Drosophila melanogaster: one gene and its partner. The gene in region 1 interacts genetically with each later gene. Each region holds a gene or a part of one and is shown on either strand. Other genes may lie near its edges.

The links.
Region 2: of Dd (region 1) and sax, changing one suppresses a phenotype caused by changing the other (phenotypic suppression), as found in Drosophila melanogaster (one study listed by BioGRID).

The regions. Positions count from the first base shown.
Region 1 is NC_004354.4:21,317,270-21,326,708, forward strand, and holds Dd (dullard), read right to left. Parts: upstream 6,741-9,439; 5' UTR 5,961-6,740; coding exon 5,862-5,960; intron 4,894-5,861; coding exon 4,636-4,893; intron 4,551-4,635; coding exon 4,368-4,550; intron 4,245-4,367; coding exon 4,053-4,244; 3' UTR 2,522-4,052; downstream 1-2,521. Other genes in the region: Rpt6 (regulatory particle triple-A ATPase 6), read left to right, coding at 1-334; anox (anorexia), read right to left, coding at 795-1,526; SLIRP1 (SRA stem-loop interacting RNA binding protein 1), read right to left, coding at 1,586-1,858; CG1486 (uncharacterized protein), read left to right, coding at 7,192-7,302, 7,441-8,553, 8,620-8,901, 8,959-9,439. UniProt on the Drosophila melanogaster protein: Serine/threonine protein phosphatase that may dephosphorylate and activate lipin-like phosphatases.
Region 2 is NT_033778.4:7,802,927-7,811,565, reverse strand, and holds sax (saxophone), read right to left. Parts: upstream 5,083-8,639; 5' UTR 5,029-5,082; coding exon 4,968-5,028; exon of another isoform or gene 4,554-4,967; intron 4,495-4,553; coding exon 4,365-4,494; intron 4,251-4,364; coding exon 4,215-4,250; intron 3,998-4,214; coding exon 3,922-3,997; intron 3,859-3,921; coding exon 3,200-3,858; intron 3,057-3,199; coding exon 2,646-3,056; intron 2,585-2,645; coding exon 2,359-2,584; intron 2,297-2,358; coding exon 2,147-2,296; 3' UTR 1,499-2,146; downstream 1-1,498. Other genes in the region: TTLL12 (tubulin tyrosine ligase-like 12), read left to right, coding at 1-1,460; Nop17l (Nop17 like), read left to right, coding at 6,830-8,054, 8,365-8,639.

The sequences.
Region 1 (9,439 bases):
TCGCATTGACATCCTGGATCCCGCTCTGCTGCGTCCCGGCCGTATTGATCGCAAGATCGAGTTCCCGCCACCAAACGAGGAGGCGCGTCTGGACATCTTGAAGATCCACTCCCGTAAGATGAACCTCACGCGTGGCATTAATCTGCGCAAGATCGCCGAGCTAATGCCAGGCGCATCAGGTGCGGAAGTCAAGGGCGTCTGCACGGAGGCCGGCATGTATGCGCTGCGCGAACGACGCGTCCATGTCACCCAGGAGGACTTCGAGATGGCTGTGGCCAAGGTGATGCAGAAGGACTCGGAGAAGAACATGTCTATCAAGAAGCTGTGGAAGTAGGCGTTGATCGGCCATTGCAAAAGAACCCTTATATTATTTTCAATAAATACATCAGTTAGTAACATAAATGCATTATTGTGTCATTGGATTTACTCCTTAGTCAGTACGCACAACCCAATTATGATCTTCACAGATAACTTTCGTTCAATGATATCTGAAGAATTGAATAGATTATCAGATTACAGTAGCAGCTTTGTAAAAAGTACATTGCAGTGTTTTCAACTGGCTGCTTGATCAGAACAAAAAAAGAGAGGTTATCCATCTCTTTCTTTTTTATGTTTTTTCGATCTCAATGATTCCTAAAAATCCGAAAGGAAAGTACTTCCAAAATTACATTTATGTATGTATGTTTATTATAGTTCCAAAGAACTTACAGGGGACTTGTCGGAGATTTACAATGGTTCACAACACCTTGCTGTTTTTAAAGCAAATGAGCACCGAACAACTTAAGATTTTGACATTAGGACGCGGATCCAGCGAGTCGTTCCCGTTCCGTTTGAAGCACCTGGCAGATCTGCTCATCGTCAGCCACGTCGTAACAAGTCTGTCCATCTGAATCGCGTAGCTCCAGGCTGGCGTGTAGCTCCAACAGGCATTGGAGCGCCTCCAAGTGTCCACAACTGGCGGCGTAGTGCAGCGGAGTCTGTTGCTCCGCATCTCGCTGATTTACACTGGCCCCACTCCGCACCAGGAACTGTATGATTTCGACGGCATTGCGATCGGTAGCCCAGTGGATGAGCGCCATGCCATGCTCGTCCAGCTTAACCAAGTCACTTGGCTGCAGCAGTTCCCTCAGCCTGTCTAGATTGTTCTCCTTCACGTGGTCAAACAGGGTCTTTTCACTGTCCAAACGTTGGTCCTCCAGTGGGACCGACTCAATGGAATGAACGACCCAGCCTGGGTTGCGCCGGGACCGCCAGTTGGGTTGAAGCTCCTGCAGCTTCTGGACGTAGGCCTGCCGGGCAGCGGACTGGGACATTGTTCCCAGATTGCGCCAAGCCTGCCACTTGCTCTTGGCCTGCAGTTGAAGCAGACCCGGACTTTGCTCCTTGCAGGGGCCATTCGTGGCCTGCTTGTAGTATCCGTAAAATATTAAAAGGTCCGCGGAACCAATGCTGTTTGACTGCTTGGCCACATGCTCGGTGGCAAGGTGGAAAAGCTCGTCCACGGTGTCCGTATCGCTGTCCGACATGTCAAAAAAAAAAAAAATCTGCTGAGCTTATAAACTAAATGACAATTAAAGTGGGGAATCTAAGATTTCTGTATGTTTAGGTAGTTGCCCTCCAGTATGTGCTTCTGCTCGTTCTCGATCTTCTCCAGCGCGGTCAAACTGTTGAAGCTAACGAAACCGTAGCCCTTCGAGCACCCCGTTCGCTTGTCGAAGATCACGTTGGCGGACACCACGCGTCCGAACTCGCGGAAGTAGCCACGCAACTCCTGGTGGCCCACTGTCCACGGTAGATTGCCCACGAAAATGCGGTGCACTGATTTTCCGACTTTTGCTACAGCTGCGGCGGTGGCCATGGACTCGGTTTTGCTAAATGAGGTGTGAATTCGAATTAAATATGGTTTTCTGCTTCTTCCAGCCAAGGCGATCTGGATTCCCGGCGACTCCTTACCAGTTGCGTTGCGTAAATACTGCTGCGTTTCTGTTTCACGTCAACTTGCTGTTTTTGTCGACAGAGAGACATAACCTCAAAGAGGCAGCTAACAGCGCAGTGCTATTACCCTACATGTCGGAGTACATTTGTTCATATATGTAATCAATACTGCAGAGGAGCGTACAGATAATTAGTTAAATGTAATCAATTGGTTTGAAAGCCAATGTAATGACTTCTAAGCTACATTACTCCTAAAATAGTAGTTCATGCAAATAGAATAATTATTTTGTATGTCTATAAATTAAAACTATTGGTTTCAATAGATTAATCTCTCAGAATCGATTTAATTTAAATCTTTATCGTGCTAATCATTTTTCTTAATGTCATAATATTCATCCAAATAGAGTATCAAATCGCTGATGTCTAGTAAGCATAAGCTGCTTTCATTCATTATTTGTGCGCTTAACAGCACATATTCGCACTAACAGGTTCTTACTAGCAATCTGTTAAGCGACGAAGTTCTGTAGAACGGAAAGGGAGCGCCAAATTCAAACGGCAGATCAAAGAAAACACATTTTTTATTTTTGATTTTGCATGATTTTGTTTTATTTTTGTAATTCTTTTTCTGATTTTCCCTTCCCTTTCCCTTTCTTATTTATTTCATTACTCTTCAGTTTAACAAATTTGCTATCAACTACTTAAAATTAACAACATCGCATACACGTATCTTTCTCGATTTCCTTGCAATAAATAAACAAATATTGATTGTTATAAATGTACAATACGATCAAAAGAACAAGTGGATAAGGGTGGGGTTAGGGGTAAGGGCGTGTGCAAGCTTTTGTTGTTTAGTTTAGAGTGGTGTATTTATGCTTTTGGAAATAACATTAACTATGGAAGCCGTTTTCACGTGTTTCTTTTTGTCTCTCGCCTAATTCCTCTGCTGCTGCCCGGAATATCCTGAATATCCTGTGATGCTTCGGATGATGTGCCACGATTTCTCAATTCTCAGACTAACTCGGTTCTCGTATAATTAGTGATTTGGCTCTCTAAACTCCCTATATATATCTGTCCCAGTCTGCGGCTCATTAACCTGATCTGATCCGATCCTATCAGAATTAATTTGATTTTTAATTCTTTTCGCTACTTGGCTCGCCTTACAAAATATAAATTTTGCCTTACTTGCTTGCTCCTCGGTTGTTGTTTACTTTAATAGTAGTTTATAGTTGTGGGTTGTTGCTTAGTCGTAAATATATAACTTCCCCAAAAATCTTATCCATAGAAAAGTGTTATGTTTGGTTTGCAAGCAATGAAACTCTTGAAGATCTTTCATCCGTTTAGTTTTGTACAGGAAACAAGGGCAGAACGTACGTAAGTCTATACAGAATCGGTTACATATTTAATAATTATCCATAATAATGATGTCCAAGTTAAGTTTCGTAATTAACTAATTTGTATAACTATAAGTATTTTGCTTCGTCTTGTTAGTTCGTATCTGCACAAAAACAACTCCAGTGTCATAATAGTTAATTGTTATCATGGTATAGAAATTACAAGACTGTTGTTGTAAGTGGCCTTAGATTTAAATTACAATAATATGATATATAACTTGACAAATTTGTTCTTTATGTTGTGGCTTCGCCTTCTGCTCAGCTTTACATTCATATATATACTGTATACTGTATATATATACTTTATACTATATACTGTCTGTGTTCAAGAGTTTTTATTTGATATTATAATCAAAATATACACCCAAAAAAACAAGCGAAAAAAATGTCTAATAAAAATAGCTGGTCTCTACATATATGGACAAGTATGTATGCATAATTAGATTGTTAAAAAAAAACTGTTAGTCTATACACAAAAGGAGAAATAAACCATCGCTTCCAAATCTCCCAATATATCCTCAACTTTCTGCTTTATCTGTTTGTCTCATCTTATCTCCGCTCATTTGACTGAATGGTACAAATTTTAAATAATAATGAACAAATTCGTTAATGTGTCACAGCACCACCTTGTTTGTTGTTAATTTCAGAAGATATTCTCCCCACTTCGCTGGCCCTCAGTGCTCCTTCTAAATAGATAAACTAAACTAGCGACAGGCGGCCCACCTGCTACCAGAGGCGGTGCAGGTGCAAGTTCCTCGACAGCACCGATCTCACGTCGTTCGTGAACCTCAGCGCATCCAGCATGGGCAGCAGCGACAGCAGCGCCGTGTCCATCGGGTCCGAGAACCAACTCTTGATGGGTATGGCGTTGTTGGGAAAACAGCGATAGGCGCCGGGCGAATTGTCGATGATAAATATCTGCAAGGAACGATGCTCAATTTAGAACAAAATACTCGTATATAAAGTACGATCTTATGCAGCACCCTCTACTTTATCGATTTGCAACTGATGGCTCGCATGGAGTCACTTGTTCCCGCTTACCCTATTTAGGTCACTGCAGATGGCCGACAGGTCTTTGGTGTAGGATCCGTAGTCGGGCGTGCAGTGCTGTCTGTAGTATCGCCTCCGGAGGATGTTTCGTCCGTTGTCCAGCTTGTCTGCCACCGCCGCTCCGTAAATCTCCATGCTGGCCGTGAAGACCACCAGATCGTACCACTGCGAGACCTGCGGGCAGTAGGGCGTAAGTTAATGTGTTGACTTAAATGCGGGAATGCATCTATTTGCTTGGCCAATCAATTCGGGAACTTACCACGTCCAGGAAGTAGTCCACATGCGGTCGCTTGTGCACGAAAAAGCGCACTGGATTCCGATCGATGGTCACTTTGACAGTGAAATCGTGCGGCGTGCCCGGCTTCACCGTATTCCGGGGCATCGCATTGTGATGGGAGTGGATTAGCGTTTCGTCCAGGTCCAGAACGAGGGTCTTGCGCTGCACCAGGCTCAGGCGGTGCCGCGAGACGGGTGACAACGGGAAGAGTTCGTATTTAACCGGTTGATACTGGATAAACTGAGAAAGTTAATACATAATCAACGGAGCAGTACTTGAAAGGCATTCGACATGGGGTTCATATGATGGGCTTGGTGGCTATGCGTCGCTACACTCTGTTGGGGTTGGGTTGCGGTGCAAGGAGATGTTAGAGGTGCTCAATGGCCAAGTTATCACTAGTGCATGGGAAACCCCAATTTACTGATATATTATGCTTTTACAAAACAATTAACAATTATTAGCTGTGCAATAGCATATAATGTTGATGTGGATTCATCGATATCTATGTATATAAGCAGGTCGAAGGTCAGTGCCTCTGCCGCGTCACGATATCTGGCCAAAATCGCCGGCCCAGTACTGAGAGAGTATTGAAGGCGGGTGGTCGATAAGGCGGATGGGAGAACCGTGGACAGCACTTCTGGGACGGGTGGGGATTCGGTGGAACACGAACCATTAAACGTGTGGCGGAAAATCTTGATAGAGGCTTACTTTAAGACAGGTGTCACTGGCTAAGCGGTACCCAGCAAAAATATATGTAACTTTACGAAAATTTAAAATTTTGCAAATATTTAGGAATAAATATCTCGTATTCGTATATATTGAAAGTTACTCTAAATTTAATAGATCGCACATTGAAGTAACGTAAATATAATTTGAAAATATAAATGAAACCATATTATTGATATGAGAGATTTGCAGATACAAAGATCTAAAATATATGAATTAATTTTAAGTTCAACGTTTCTATTCATGCAAATCTTCAAATAAATTTCCGAGGCAAACACATCCATACTCTCTAGCGAGTACTACCTGTATCATTGAAAATCTTATCAGTGCGGCCGCTTTTATTATTATTATTCTGTAGCAGTAGTACTTAAGTTTCGATAGCGGGAGCGGGTTGGGAATAATTTCGGCGTTTCGGGCGGGTAAAAATAGGACTATTTTTGTTTTGTGATTTACTCCTGCTTTCGGGTAATTTCAGTACTTACAGCTCGCACTTGGCGATTGAACATGAAACAAATGCATGTCCATACTTTTGATAGCAACAACAAAAGCGCACGGAATTTCATTTGCAGCAGCGAAATCATTGGAAATAGTGCAAGTCCTTGTACGGTGTTTTTTTTGTTCGGGGCGATTAATTCGATAAATCGACCACGATCCGCGATTGACCGCGGTGCGAGCAGATTCCTCTTCTTCTTCCGCCTCCTCTACTTTATTTTTTCTTTTGCAACGAATTGTTGTTGTTTTTGATAACGCGCCGAGAGCCACACGCACACTCACCCACACACCCGCGGGCGCGCTTCACACAACACACACTCACACAAAAAAAACCCGGAACAAAATCGATAACAAGGCTTCTAGATATTTTGTTGAAAGTGTTTTTCTCTTTTCCCGGTTTTTTACTTGAGTTCAATTATTCGGTGTCGCCTAGTTTTAAGGTCCCTTTTCAAGGGAGAAGGAGGGGTATGGTCTTATTTCCAATTCTTTTGGGGGCTTTTTATATCTGGCGTCTGCTCTTCTTCTTCTCTTTTGTTGTCTTGTACGCCAGTGTGTGAGTGTATTGTTTTTTTTTTAGCGTAGTGTAGTTTTTATATTTTGGCAACTATCGCACCGATTTGGGAATAGATTTTGTTTTTGGTTGAGCAAAACGAATCAATTGATTGAGCTATTGCACTTTGATTGCAGTCGATTGCGAGGTGCGTTCGCCTGAATAGTACGACCTGGCCGTGGACTGTTCATTACTCGTTGGCGCTGCGGCTTAGTGTTTATTACATAAATATAGTTTGTCCGCGTTTCGTTTTTGTTTAATAAATTCCCACACTCATGCACACACTCATGTTTATTCGATACTATCGCACTTTCGCAGCATCGATGAGTTTTCCGCAACTATCGATGGCTGTGTAGTATGACCGTGCGGTGCTGTCTTCAAAATCGCTGAGACACAAACCGTGACACAAACCACTGTGAAAACTCGTCGTTTAAGGTTACGAGTAGGTGCTATGTATGTACGTTTGTGTGCTGCTGTCCAACGTCTTTTAGTGGCGGATATTATAATAGTTTTCCAACTTCCTTGCGACCTATTCCATCACCAGAACCATGGGCCAACAATCGCACACTATTTGCGATCTTAGTCAGACGCACCCACTACGGTCACACCATTCCACATCAGCCTCTCTTCCATCAACACACACACACACTCGCCCGCCCCACACACACACGCACACACACCCACCCACACAGACGCAGTGGCACGAAACGAAAACAATTATTTTGCATCGCAGGCGATAAGTTAAAAGTGATTTAGACCGCACTGAAACCATGTCAGCGGCTGGTAGATCGGTGGACGATCCCGGCCAGAGCCCACTCGTAGACCAAGAGCCGGATCCGGGCCAATCAACGCCAGCGGTGGCCGAAATCGCCGCTTCCAGTGTGAGTGTTTGGTTTTTTTCGCCCTGCTTCTATCTTTTTTTTTTTTGCTGACGACGACGGAAGACACGTCAACTTCTGGAGCGCTGTTGTTTACCTTGTCCACTATCCCACCTAATTAGCCATGTATTCGCCACATAGATTCGATCGGGCCTGGCGGAGCTGGAGCTGCGATCTTCGCAGGTGCTGCAGCGCTTAGAGAACGTTAAGGTGTCGACCACGCCGGAGAGCCCAAATCCCGTCGAGAACGAGGAAGAGGCTGGGGAGCGGGTGACCAGCGAGGACCTCCTGCCAGCGAAGCATCGCGTGCCCTCCGACATTCTTAAGTCGCTGGAGCAATTGGTTTCTTACACGGACAGCGACGATGATCCGGAGTTCCCGCTGCCCGCCCTGGATGACGTCTCCCACTTGGCTCTCATATCGCACAGCATTGTGGCCTATTTGTCGCATCTGGACCGTCAGCAACTGCTCCGGGTGACGAACAGCATTTCCGGGGACGCCACCCGCTGGTTGGGCACGCTGTTTCACTTTGCCCACCCGGCGAGCAGCTTCCATGCGGACAATGCAGACGCGGTGCTGCGTACGGTGCGACTGGCCATCGTCGCCAGGTGTCCGGGGTACTTGGAGGGTGGCATACCCGCCCTGGCGCAGCCTACGTTTTACATCTCGGAGAATACGACGCCGATGAGGCTGCACTACGCATGCCGCCAGTTGGGCATACCGCTGGAGGCTATTAAGGTCATTCCGGAGCACAGTCAGTCCGGGACAATGGATGTGACGCTGCTGCAAAAGCAAATTCAGCAGGATGTGGGCAATAACAGGACTCCGCTGCTGGTGGTCGCCGACATTGGAGCCTCGTTGTGTGGCTATGTGGACAACCTGCTCCGGCTGAGGGACGTATGCAAGGCGCACAACATGTGGCTGCACGCCAGTGGCCACGGACTGGCCGCCTTGGTGTGCGCCCAAAATCAGGGCCATGTGGAGGAGGTACTCCACTCGATGGCCCTGAATTTGGGCAGCTGGCTGGGTGTGCCCAGTCTGCCCATCGTCCTGCTGCACCGTCCGCTGCAGAACAGCGCTCTGAGTGCCTTCGAATCCGATCCCATACTGTCGCGTCGTCTTAATGCCCTGTCCTTGTGGACCAGTTTGCAGGCGCTGGGCCGGAAGGCGATTGCGGAGCGTCTGCATGTGGCCTTCCAGACGTGCAGTATTCTCTTCGAGATTGCCTCCAAGTGTGAGGGCATCCGGGTGTTGGTAAATTATTGCACACACGTTTATGGATAATGTTTTTAGTTTACCAAAGGACCTTGGCATTTTCAGAGCCATACTCCAGGAGCGCAGACCGGAGCCTCTTTGTCGGACGTCATTCAGAGCCCCTTTGATGTGCAGGCGCTTTTTGATGCCGCCGCCCCCGTGGTCGCCTATCAGTTCGACGGCAGCACCACCATTCCACTGGGCGGGAGTGGCTCTTCCGCCGCCGCTGCCGCTGCTGAGCGGGAAACGGCCGAAGGCCTCAAGCCGCTAGAGAAGATTAACAATGCTTCCTACTTCGACCGGCTCAACTCCTGGCTGGGTCAAATCTTGCAACGCGACTGTCCCAATGTATGCAGTGTGAATTAATCATCTCCTTGTATGAGCCTAATCACCATGTTCTTCCAGTTTGACTTTGAGGTAATTGAACACCCGACGCACGGCAGCTGCATTCGCTACTGTCCGCTGGAATTGGGGTTGGGTGAGCAGCCGCCAAGCTCCGAGAACCTGGAGAGCTTCGCTCAGAGCTTAGAGGCACATGTGGACATCCTGCGCGCGACCATCAAGCACAAGGCACGGTTCATTCATCTGGTGGAGTGCAGCGACGTGCTGCGCCTCGTTCCACTGCCCGAATGGGCGGGCATGGGCGGTGTTCGCTTCGTGCCCGAGGGCTGGGAGTCCCTGCTGACGGACCAGGCCAAAACAGAGCTAAACAAGCTGAACATCGACCTGGTGGAGGCCCTGAAATCCACGGACAATGCCTTTTCATTAGGCGAAGGCACCGATGGTCTGATTTGTGTGCGATTCGGAATGGTGACCCATGAAACGGAGGTCGAAGAGTTGTTAGACTTGGTGGTCACGGTGGGCAAGAGCGTCCAGGAAAACTCGC
Region 2 (8,639 bases), on another chromosome or scaffold:
AGTACTGCCACGCCTACTCCATCGGCAGCGAAGGCTTGTCGGACGAGGAGCGCCAGCCCATCTGGTATGTGATGGACGAAGTCGGCTCGGCTGTGAACCACTCGGACGATCCCAACTTTCGACTTGTTCCGCTGCTCTACCTAAACACCCAAACCACATACAGTGTGCTCTTTCCGATTCGGGACTGCGATGTCGGAGAAGCGGTGACCCGCGATATGGTGGAGCACGTGGCAAAGGATGCGCCCCAGCGGCCTGCGCTGCTTTTACCCTGGCGCGATGCCGACCTCACGGGCGAAAGCTTCTTGCAGGTTGAACCCCGGGCAGATTACTTTACCAGCGGTCACATCCCTGAGACCTATCCCAAAGGCGATACTGTTCCACTGCCAGCCAGGTCACGTTGCGATCCGCTGAAGGTGTATGCAGAGTACGAGGTGGTGCGCCGTCATCTAACTTCGTCCGAGTTCATCCTAGTTAACAACGCAGACGAGGCGGATGTCCTTTGGCTCACACACCACTTCAAGAATTTCGAGGATTTTGCAGATAGGTCGCCCGGCAAGTTCATCAATCAGTTTCCGTTCGAGTACGTGATCACCATCAAGGATCTCCTTAGCATTGTGGGCCGCCGGGCGGCCAAGGAGCACCATGATAGCCTTACGCTTGAAACGTTTCCGGCATGGCTCCCCACCACCTATAATCTGTCCACCGAAGTAAAGGAGTTCGCGGCTTACTACCAAACGAGAGCAGCCAAGGGCCTCGACAACCACTGGATTATCAAGCCCTGGAACTTGGCTCGCGGATTGGACACACATATCACGGACAACATCAAGCAGATCGTACGTCTACCGGCCACTGGACCGAAGATAGCGCAGAAGTACATCGAGCGACCAGTTCTCTTTAGTCGGCAGGAGGTGGAAGGCAGCGTTAAGTTCGATATTCGCTATGTAATCCTGTTGAAAAGCGTCAAACCCCTGAAGGCATATATACACCGGAAGTTCTTCCTGCGTTTCGCAAACCATCCCTTCACGCTGGATCACTTCGATGACTACGAGAAACACTACACGGTGATGAACTACCAGACGGAGGCGCAGCTGCATCACGTCAAGTGCGACGACTTCCTGACGCTCTGGCAGGAACAGTATCCGGATAACGATTGGTCGGCTCTGGAGCAGCAGATCTGTAGCATGCTGCTCGAGGTGCTTCAGTGCGCCAGTCAAGCAGATCCACCCTGCGGCCTGGCTCCTTGTGCCCAATCACGAGCTCTTTACGCAGCCGACATCATGCTGCGGTGGAAGGACGATAAGGAGAAGTTGATGGAGCCCCAGTTGCTGGAAATCAACTGGACTCCGGACTGCAAACGCGCATGCGACTACTATCCCGACTTCTTCAACGACATCTTCCGTCTGCTCTTCCTAGACGAAGAAAACGACGATAGCTTCCGGGTACTGACGCCAGACAATTGACATTAACCGAGCAAATAAACCCAGTTATCCCAAAGTTTAATGCCTATTCGTGTATTTCATTTCGTTTAGACTATACAAAACTTAAATAGCTTGCCATTTGTACAATATACAAGTAGGTGTGTATGCTTCTATGCGTGGGTATCTAAGTCCTAAAGGCTTAACTAACTAAGATAGCAAGTCAGTTGGTGGTGTGGCTTATGGTTTTATCATAGCATGGACAAGTTCTAGAGTTATGAATTTAGTGTAAAGTTCAAAGAGTGAGCTTAAAGTTAAGGCGTTTACAATTCTCAATTGCAAATGGCACTTGATGAACAATGAATAATGGTAAATAGTGAAATGACAACTTTACAGGATGATATCCCAAGAACATACATTAGAGTCGATGCTAACTTTAACTTAAGGCAATTTCAAAGGCACCCTTTTCAGGCTAGGCTCACGGTGGAACGGAAACGATAAAGTCAATCCAAACATAAAGTAAATATGTTAAAGTCTTCTATATAACTATAAGCTCCCAAGGGTCTTGTACTTGGATTAGTTTGCTTCAACACGCAGGATCTTGGCTTAGCTTTGAATAATATACCTACGAACTAATAGTGTGAAATGCAGGGTATGTCAATGAATGAATCTTAGACTACCTATGTGGTACAACTAAATTACCGCTTACAGCTAAGGCTCGACTACTACCACTAAACGCAGACCTCGTCGAAGTCCAGGCGTATCTTCTCGTCAGCGGAAGCCAGCTTATGTATAGTCTTTTTGATGCGCAGCGCTGGCAAGCGCACGTCGGGGTTTTGGTGCCAGCACTCCTTCATGAGCTTGGACATGCCAGTCATTAACTAAAAAATGAGAACAACAATGAGATCAAAGATCTAGAGAATGGCAATCGAAAGCGACTTACCGAATCCGAGCTCCAGCGATTGGGAATGGAGGGCCTGTAGTTGTCGATGCAGACCACCTTGCGCATATCCTCGAAGCTGGGATCCATTGGCACCACATCGTAGAAGGGCACCTTGTACTCCTCTGCTATGCCGCAAGAAATGGTGCGGCGACAAACCTCCCAGAGGACAAGTCCAAATGCGTAAATATCTGTCCGGCGTAGTGCTTCGAAGCATTCTAAATCAATGCTACAATAGACAAATTGTTAATGTAAAAATATTCTTTTTTGTACTGCCAATAAGCACACACCTTTCATCAAGAACCTCTGGGGCCATGTAGCGCTTGGTGCCCACTTTGGGGTTGTTGCCCAGGTCCAGTTGTCCTGTGACGTGCGAATGGGTAACGGCCAGTCCAAAATCGGCTATCACGCAGGAGCCGTTCGAGGTGACCAGTATATTCTTTGACTTCAAATCGCGGTGGGCCATAGCTGGCTTGCCTTGCTTGCCGAATATCTCTGTGTGCAAGTGTACCAGCCCATTAGCTATGGACAGGCAAATCCATACCATATCGTTGTGGCTTAGGGCGTTACGGTTTAGGTGATCAAAGAGCGAGCCCAGTGGATAGTAGTGCGTCATCAGCCAAAGTTGGGTGCACGAGTTCCGCGACGTCATGTCAGAGCCGATGAATCCCAGAATATTTTCATGTCGTAGCAATATGGTGCTGAAAAACAAAGAACGATTATTTATGATTCATAGAGCAACAGGTAGGTAGTCATGACTGGACTAGGGCACTTTTCTTCTGGGGAAACAGTTAAAAATTTCTACAGCTACAAATTACAGAGTCACAAATAATCTGTTGCTCACCTATATATCTCTGTCTCCCGCTTCCAGGACTCCTCGTCGCGACTGAAGAATATCTTCACGGCGATGCTTTCGCCATGCCAGTGACCGCGCCAAACCTCGCCGTATTTGCCTCGTCCAATGCACTCGATCAGGGTGACCTGTTTGGCTAGCGTACGCTGCACTAGCAGCGGCAATCCGCTGCCCGAGCCGGAGGTCACCGAGTGCTGCAGATACTCCCTCAGCGTACTGTCCCCGGCGCTGGTGGCGCGGAGCAGCTCATCATTGACCAGATACGCTTCCGGGTCCTGTTTGGTTCGCGAGGCAGCCAGACGCTTGCGATGGCTACGACGAATGAAGAAGATGGTCACGGCGCCCAGCAGAGCGATGACCAGAAAAGGACCCAGAACGGCGACGAGCATCTTGCTTATGCTACTGGTATCCGCGGTTATCACCGTCACATCATTGCTGTCGAAGGGCAGCAGTTCCGGAAAGTCTCCCTCATTGCAGTAATCACCGGCACAGCAGACCACATTCACGAACTTCCCCGTATTGCGTTTACTGGGCCCGTTGATCTTCAAGGAGTTCTGGCTGCAGATCATGGGCAGTTGATCCGGCGAGGTGCTGCAGCCGCGTGACTCCTGCACCTGACCATCGGCATCGCGTGTGCGCGACTTCCAGCACTGTTGAAGTTCGGAAATTAAGTTACATTTAAGTTTTAATCAAGTTTAAGGTGGAGTATTCACCTGAATCGCATTCTGGCAGGTGTGGGTAAACTCATAGGGATCCCGACAGGGCGGCTCGCAGGAGTAGCATTTGTATCTGATAAAAAAAAGAGAGAGTTTAATAAGATTGAAGAAGAATCGGTTACGCAAACGGGCAGCTTTTAATTGTTAACATTTGGGTATAAAAGTATAATATACTATAAAATATTTAAAAAAAATGGGGTTTTTTAAGTAAAATTATGAATATTTTCAAAATTTTAACTAAAAGTTAACCAGTTTATGATGTTTTAGTTCATGAGTCGTGTAGGTTTTACCTTCTCTTCATGCGGCGCTTACTCTTAATGTGTCTCCTAATTAAGGATTAGCAGCATGGCAATTAGGAGGGAAATGAGATTAGCAATACAAAGCCTTTGGGCGGAAGCGGGAGCTACAAGCTATGGGCTCAAGACTTAAGATATAATCACCTGGGATGCGTCTGCACCGAGTTCTGTGGCACGGCCGGTAGCTCCTTGCCATTGAGATGGGCGGATGAGGCGGAGGAGAGCTCCATGTCTAAGTCCGGTATGTCCTCCCGCAGATGATCGCTGATTTCGGCTGAAACATAACAAATGCACATTAAACCATATGCACATAGCATATACATATGTACACACATGGACGGCCCAACCAACACAAACGCCACCAGCACTAACACACACACACACATGCACACAGGCGCCCCAGCAAGTTCTGTATACACACACAGAACGGTGGTGTGCGTGGGTAAATCATTGAGAAAATGCACTTATGCTGCAAACGCCCACGACATCCGTTTATATAATACATTCTGTGGGATCCATCAGGTGCTTCTTTCACCAATCAGCATTCCGAGGGCACTTTTTTCGCCTTGGCCTGGCCAAATACGCAACGCAATTGGCCAGAACCGCAGCATATGAAAACAAACCCAAAACACTCAGTGACTTTTCAAGGCATTATATGTGGCTCTAAAACCCCATAAAATCGAAATTTCTCTTGCGCACTCTCTTCACCAAGCACTTGGTAATTGATTAACACTAATTGATGCCCACCTCTGGCATTATTGTACAGCAGAAACGTCAATAGAAAAACTAAATATATATTGGACTCCATTGCTAGAAATGTTATTTGTCCGAGCCTATCGGAACCTATCGATATACTTCTAGCGGGCAGTGTGACCAGGGCCCACATCTGCACATAACATATTTCACATAAAATACCGGGTCTTCAAATTTCCCAAATCCCCTGCGTAAAAATACCAAAGCACAACACGCACACCAACACGAGCAGCCGGTCAGCGGAAAAGTTTCTAGAACGTCAAACTCGAACTCCCATCAAAGAGTCTTTGGCAAAGGAGCCCATTTAACAGACAATTATTTTATTCAGTGCCGTTGTGTTCACAAAGCATAATTGTGTTCAATTTAGGTAAGTGGAGAAGCAGGAGATCTTCAGTGGAGGAGTTTTCGTGCCATTAAGTTGTTTTCCTGAGTGAAATTAACGGATTTACCTACCCGGTGTCATGGAATATAACAAAACATTTGCTTAGTTAGGGTTTTCATGTCCACTGCGACCGGTTTGTCCAGAAAATCAATGGGTTTCAGCTAGTATCGATCAAACGACAGAGTTTTCCCCCTCCCACAGCGCAAACATGTGTTTTTAGTCACGTAACTGTTATAATTTTCCTCGTTTTCCTTGCAATGGAGAAGATACACACGCCGTAGGGAATCATCTTACTGACCCCCCAATTACCACCCCCGCCCTCCTGCACATATATGTATGTACATAAGTTTGTAATATCAGTTGGCAGACGCAATACAAACATTATCTTTGTATATACATACATATGTGTGTAGAGATGTGGTCGTTTATTGTACAATTAGTTGGGTTGCGCCAGAAATCGCATAATGTGTGTGTGAGCGCAGGGGCTGCGGGGGCAGAATCCCGCTAAACAAAAACAATTGGGGCAAGTGGTTTTTTTCGCGCTTATCAAAAGCCCCTCACTGCGCAGAGGACGCTCTCTCTGTGGGCCGCTCGACTCGCAAAGAGCCTCCAATATTTGCCGGCGTTTCGGGCGTAGCGCTCCCATTCTCATAAAAACGCTCGTCGGGAAAGCATCGCACCAAAACTCGAAAAAAAAAACAGAAAACATTTACGCGTTCTCCTAGAATTTCACAAACTACGCAGTTCGTTTATTTATTTATTGGCCGACAAGTAAAAAAAAAACTCGTGGTCAGTTTGTAGTCATCTACACACATGTGTATCTACTTACATAATGCCCGTAAATCCGGCGGATAGCCGGTGATTTTCGACAGCGACCTTTCTGCGTCATTGATTTAATATTTATTTGCCTATCTGCTGATTAGAATTTGATTAAATGCCAGCTCGGTGTTTTTTTTTGGCTGCGAAATGGTCAGGACCTAGGGCAACCTTGGGACCTGGTACTTACTTGGCTTATCTCAGATTCGATTGGAAAGTTTCCAGAGTTTCGCCAGGTTCCGCAAGATTTAGTCATGCCCTCAAGGTTTATTTGCAAAACTATAAAATAGCCAGGTATACATAGAACTTACATATGTATAGCCGAAACAGAAAAACTAGTAATTTTTCCCAAACGACTTGTCTTGTTGTTATTGCAGTTATACATTCGTAATATAAGATAGCTGATTATCTTACAAGATTGTCCGTACTTACATCTATGTTTATTTGTACTTTCAGAACCTTCCAGAAATAGAAACCCAACGCATTTGCCAAGGAAACGTGGCCCAAAACTGAGCAACCCCTAACAAATAGAAACAAACAAAAAATCAAAACCCGTCGAAGTGATAAGAAAATTTGTATTTGTGTAGTAAAAGTGCCGAGGAGAGAAGAGGAGACCGAAGAGATCCCTCCGTGAGTGAAGTGTGCCTGCGAGAAAGCTATGTCCGCATCTAGATCGCGTAATAAACAATCCAAACTTTGTGACGATGAGCGGCTCGATATAAGCAGGGACGAGTTCAACCGATTCCAGGAGGCCTTTGGCAAGGAGGAGTTCCGCAAGCTCTTCTTCGACTACGTGGATGAGATCCAGGATCCTGAGAACCGCAAGATCTACGAGTCAGAGATCACGCAGCTGGAGAAGGAGCGTGGCGTGGAGGTGAGGTTCATCCACCCGAAGCCGGGATTCGTGATCAAGACCGCTCTAGATGGCGAGCTCAAGTGCTTCATCAACATCGCTAGCTGTGAGGAGATCCAGAGGCCCAAAAATGAGGTGGCCACGGATCCGTCGAGTGGTAGCCGGGGCCTGAGCTGGTCCATTCCGATGGCCCAGACCACGTCGCGCGATGACTTCGATGCGAAAAACAACCACTGCAAGGTGTTCGACGTCGTCTTCCATCCCGACGCCCTTCACCTGGCCATGCGGAACAAACAGTTCCGCCAATGCCTCATCGATACGGCACTGGACGCAATCGAACGCGAGTACAAGGTCTCGCTGGATCGCGCCAACCTCAAGTTCCCCAAGCTGGACTACAAGGGTATTCCCCGTCCCACTGTGATACGCAAGATGGCCGATAATCCCACGGCCGAGGAGCAGGAGCCACATCCCCTGGCGCACATGTTCCCCACAAAGCCACCCGCTCCGGGGAAACAAGAGCCCCGTGTCCTGCCCATGAAAACGAAACCCTCTCCGGTGCCGGAGTTCACGGTGCCCAGGTATACGATCAAGCACAGCCACGACGTGGACTTGTCCGAGTACACGGACGAGCTGGATGCCAAGCTGCACGTGACCGTTCCTCGTTCTCTTGTCGTGGAGATCGAGCTCCCCCTGCTCCGCTCGACAGCCGAGTGCCAGCTGGACGTCACCTCCAAGTCCATATACCTGTTCAGCGAGCGACAGGGCGCCAAGTACCGCCTGAAGCTGGACCTGCCCTTCATCGTGGACGACAAGGCGGGCCGGGCCCGCTTCGACACGGATATGCGTCGTTTGAGCATCACGTTACCTGTGGTCCGGAAGAGCATCCAGGAGCAAGCCCAGATGCACGAAACCTTGCGCCACTTCAGCCGCGAGGACAGCGGCGTGGAGCTGCACTCCAATAGCGAATCGCCGGTGGAGGAGGATCCCGATGGCGAACTCAGCGATTCCAAGGCGGATATTTCCGAGACTTGTAAGTAAACCATTAATAATATCATATTTAAGAGTCTGTAAATATAATTAACAATGAAAACTTGTAAATCTCACGTACAAGGGGTCATCCATTCCATCCATTATTATTAATTATTATAATAGGCAGTTGTATTATGTATGATAATATTATAAGATAATATTGTGTGGATCGAACTATTTTCGATTAAAAGCTTTTAAGTTTGTTTAATTTGTGCGAAGAGAATGGTTGGCTTTTGGATTGGATTGTTCTTTTATTTTGATACTCTTTCAAATAAATATATTAATATATATATATTTGTGTGATCCCTCAGCATCGCCCAGTGTCGCACCTGCCAATAGCCCGTTCCTGAAGAGCTCCGTGCACTACCAGCTGCCCAGCAAGTTCGACTGCAACGTGCTGGACAATGTGATGGCCTTTGTGCTGCACGTGCCCAACGTTCAACCGGACTCCATTGAGCAGTTGAGGGAGCAGCGGAGCCTGCACCTGAAGTTCGCCACCATCGGCAGTGGCTACTATCCCACCCACTACGCTTTCTACGTGGAACTGTCGGCGGAGCATGAGGATTCCTCCATCGAGAGCGCGGAG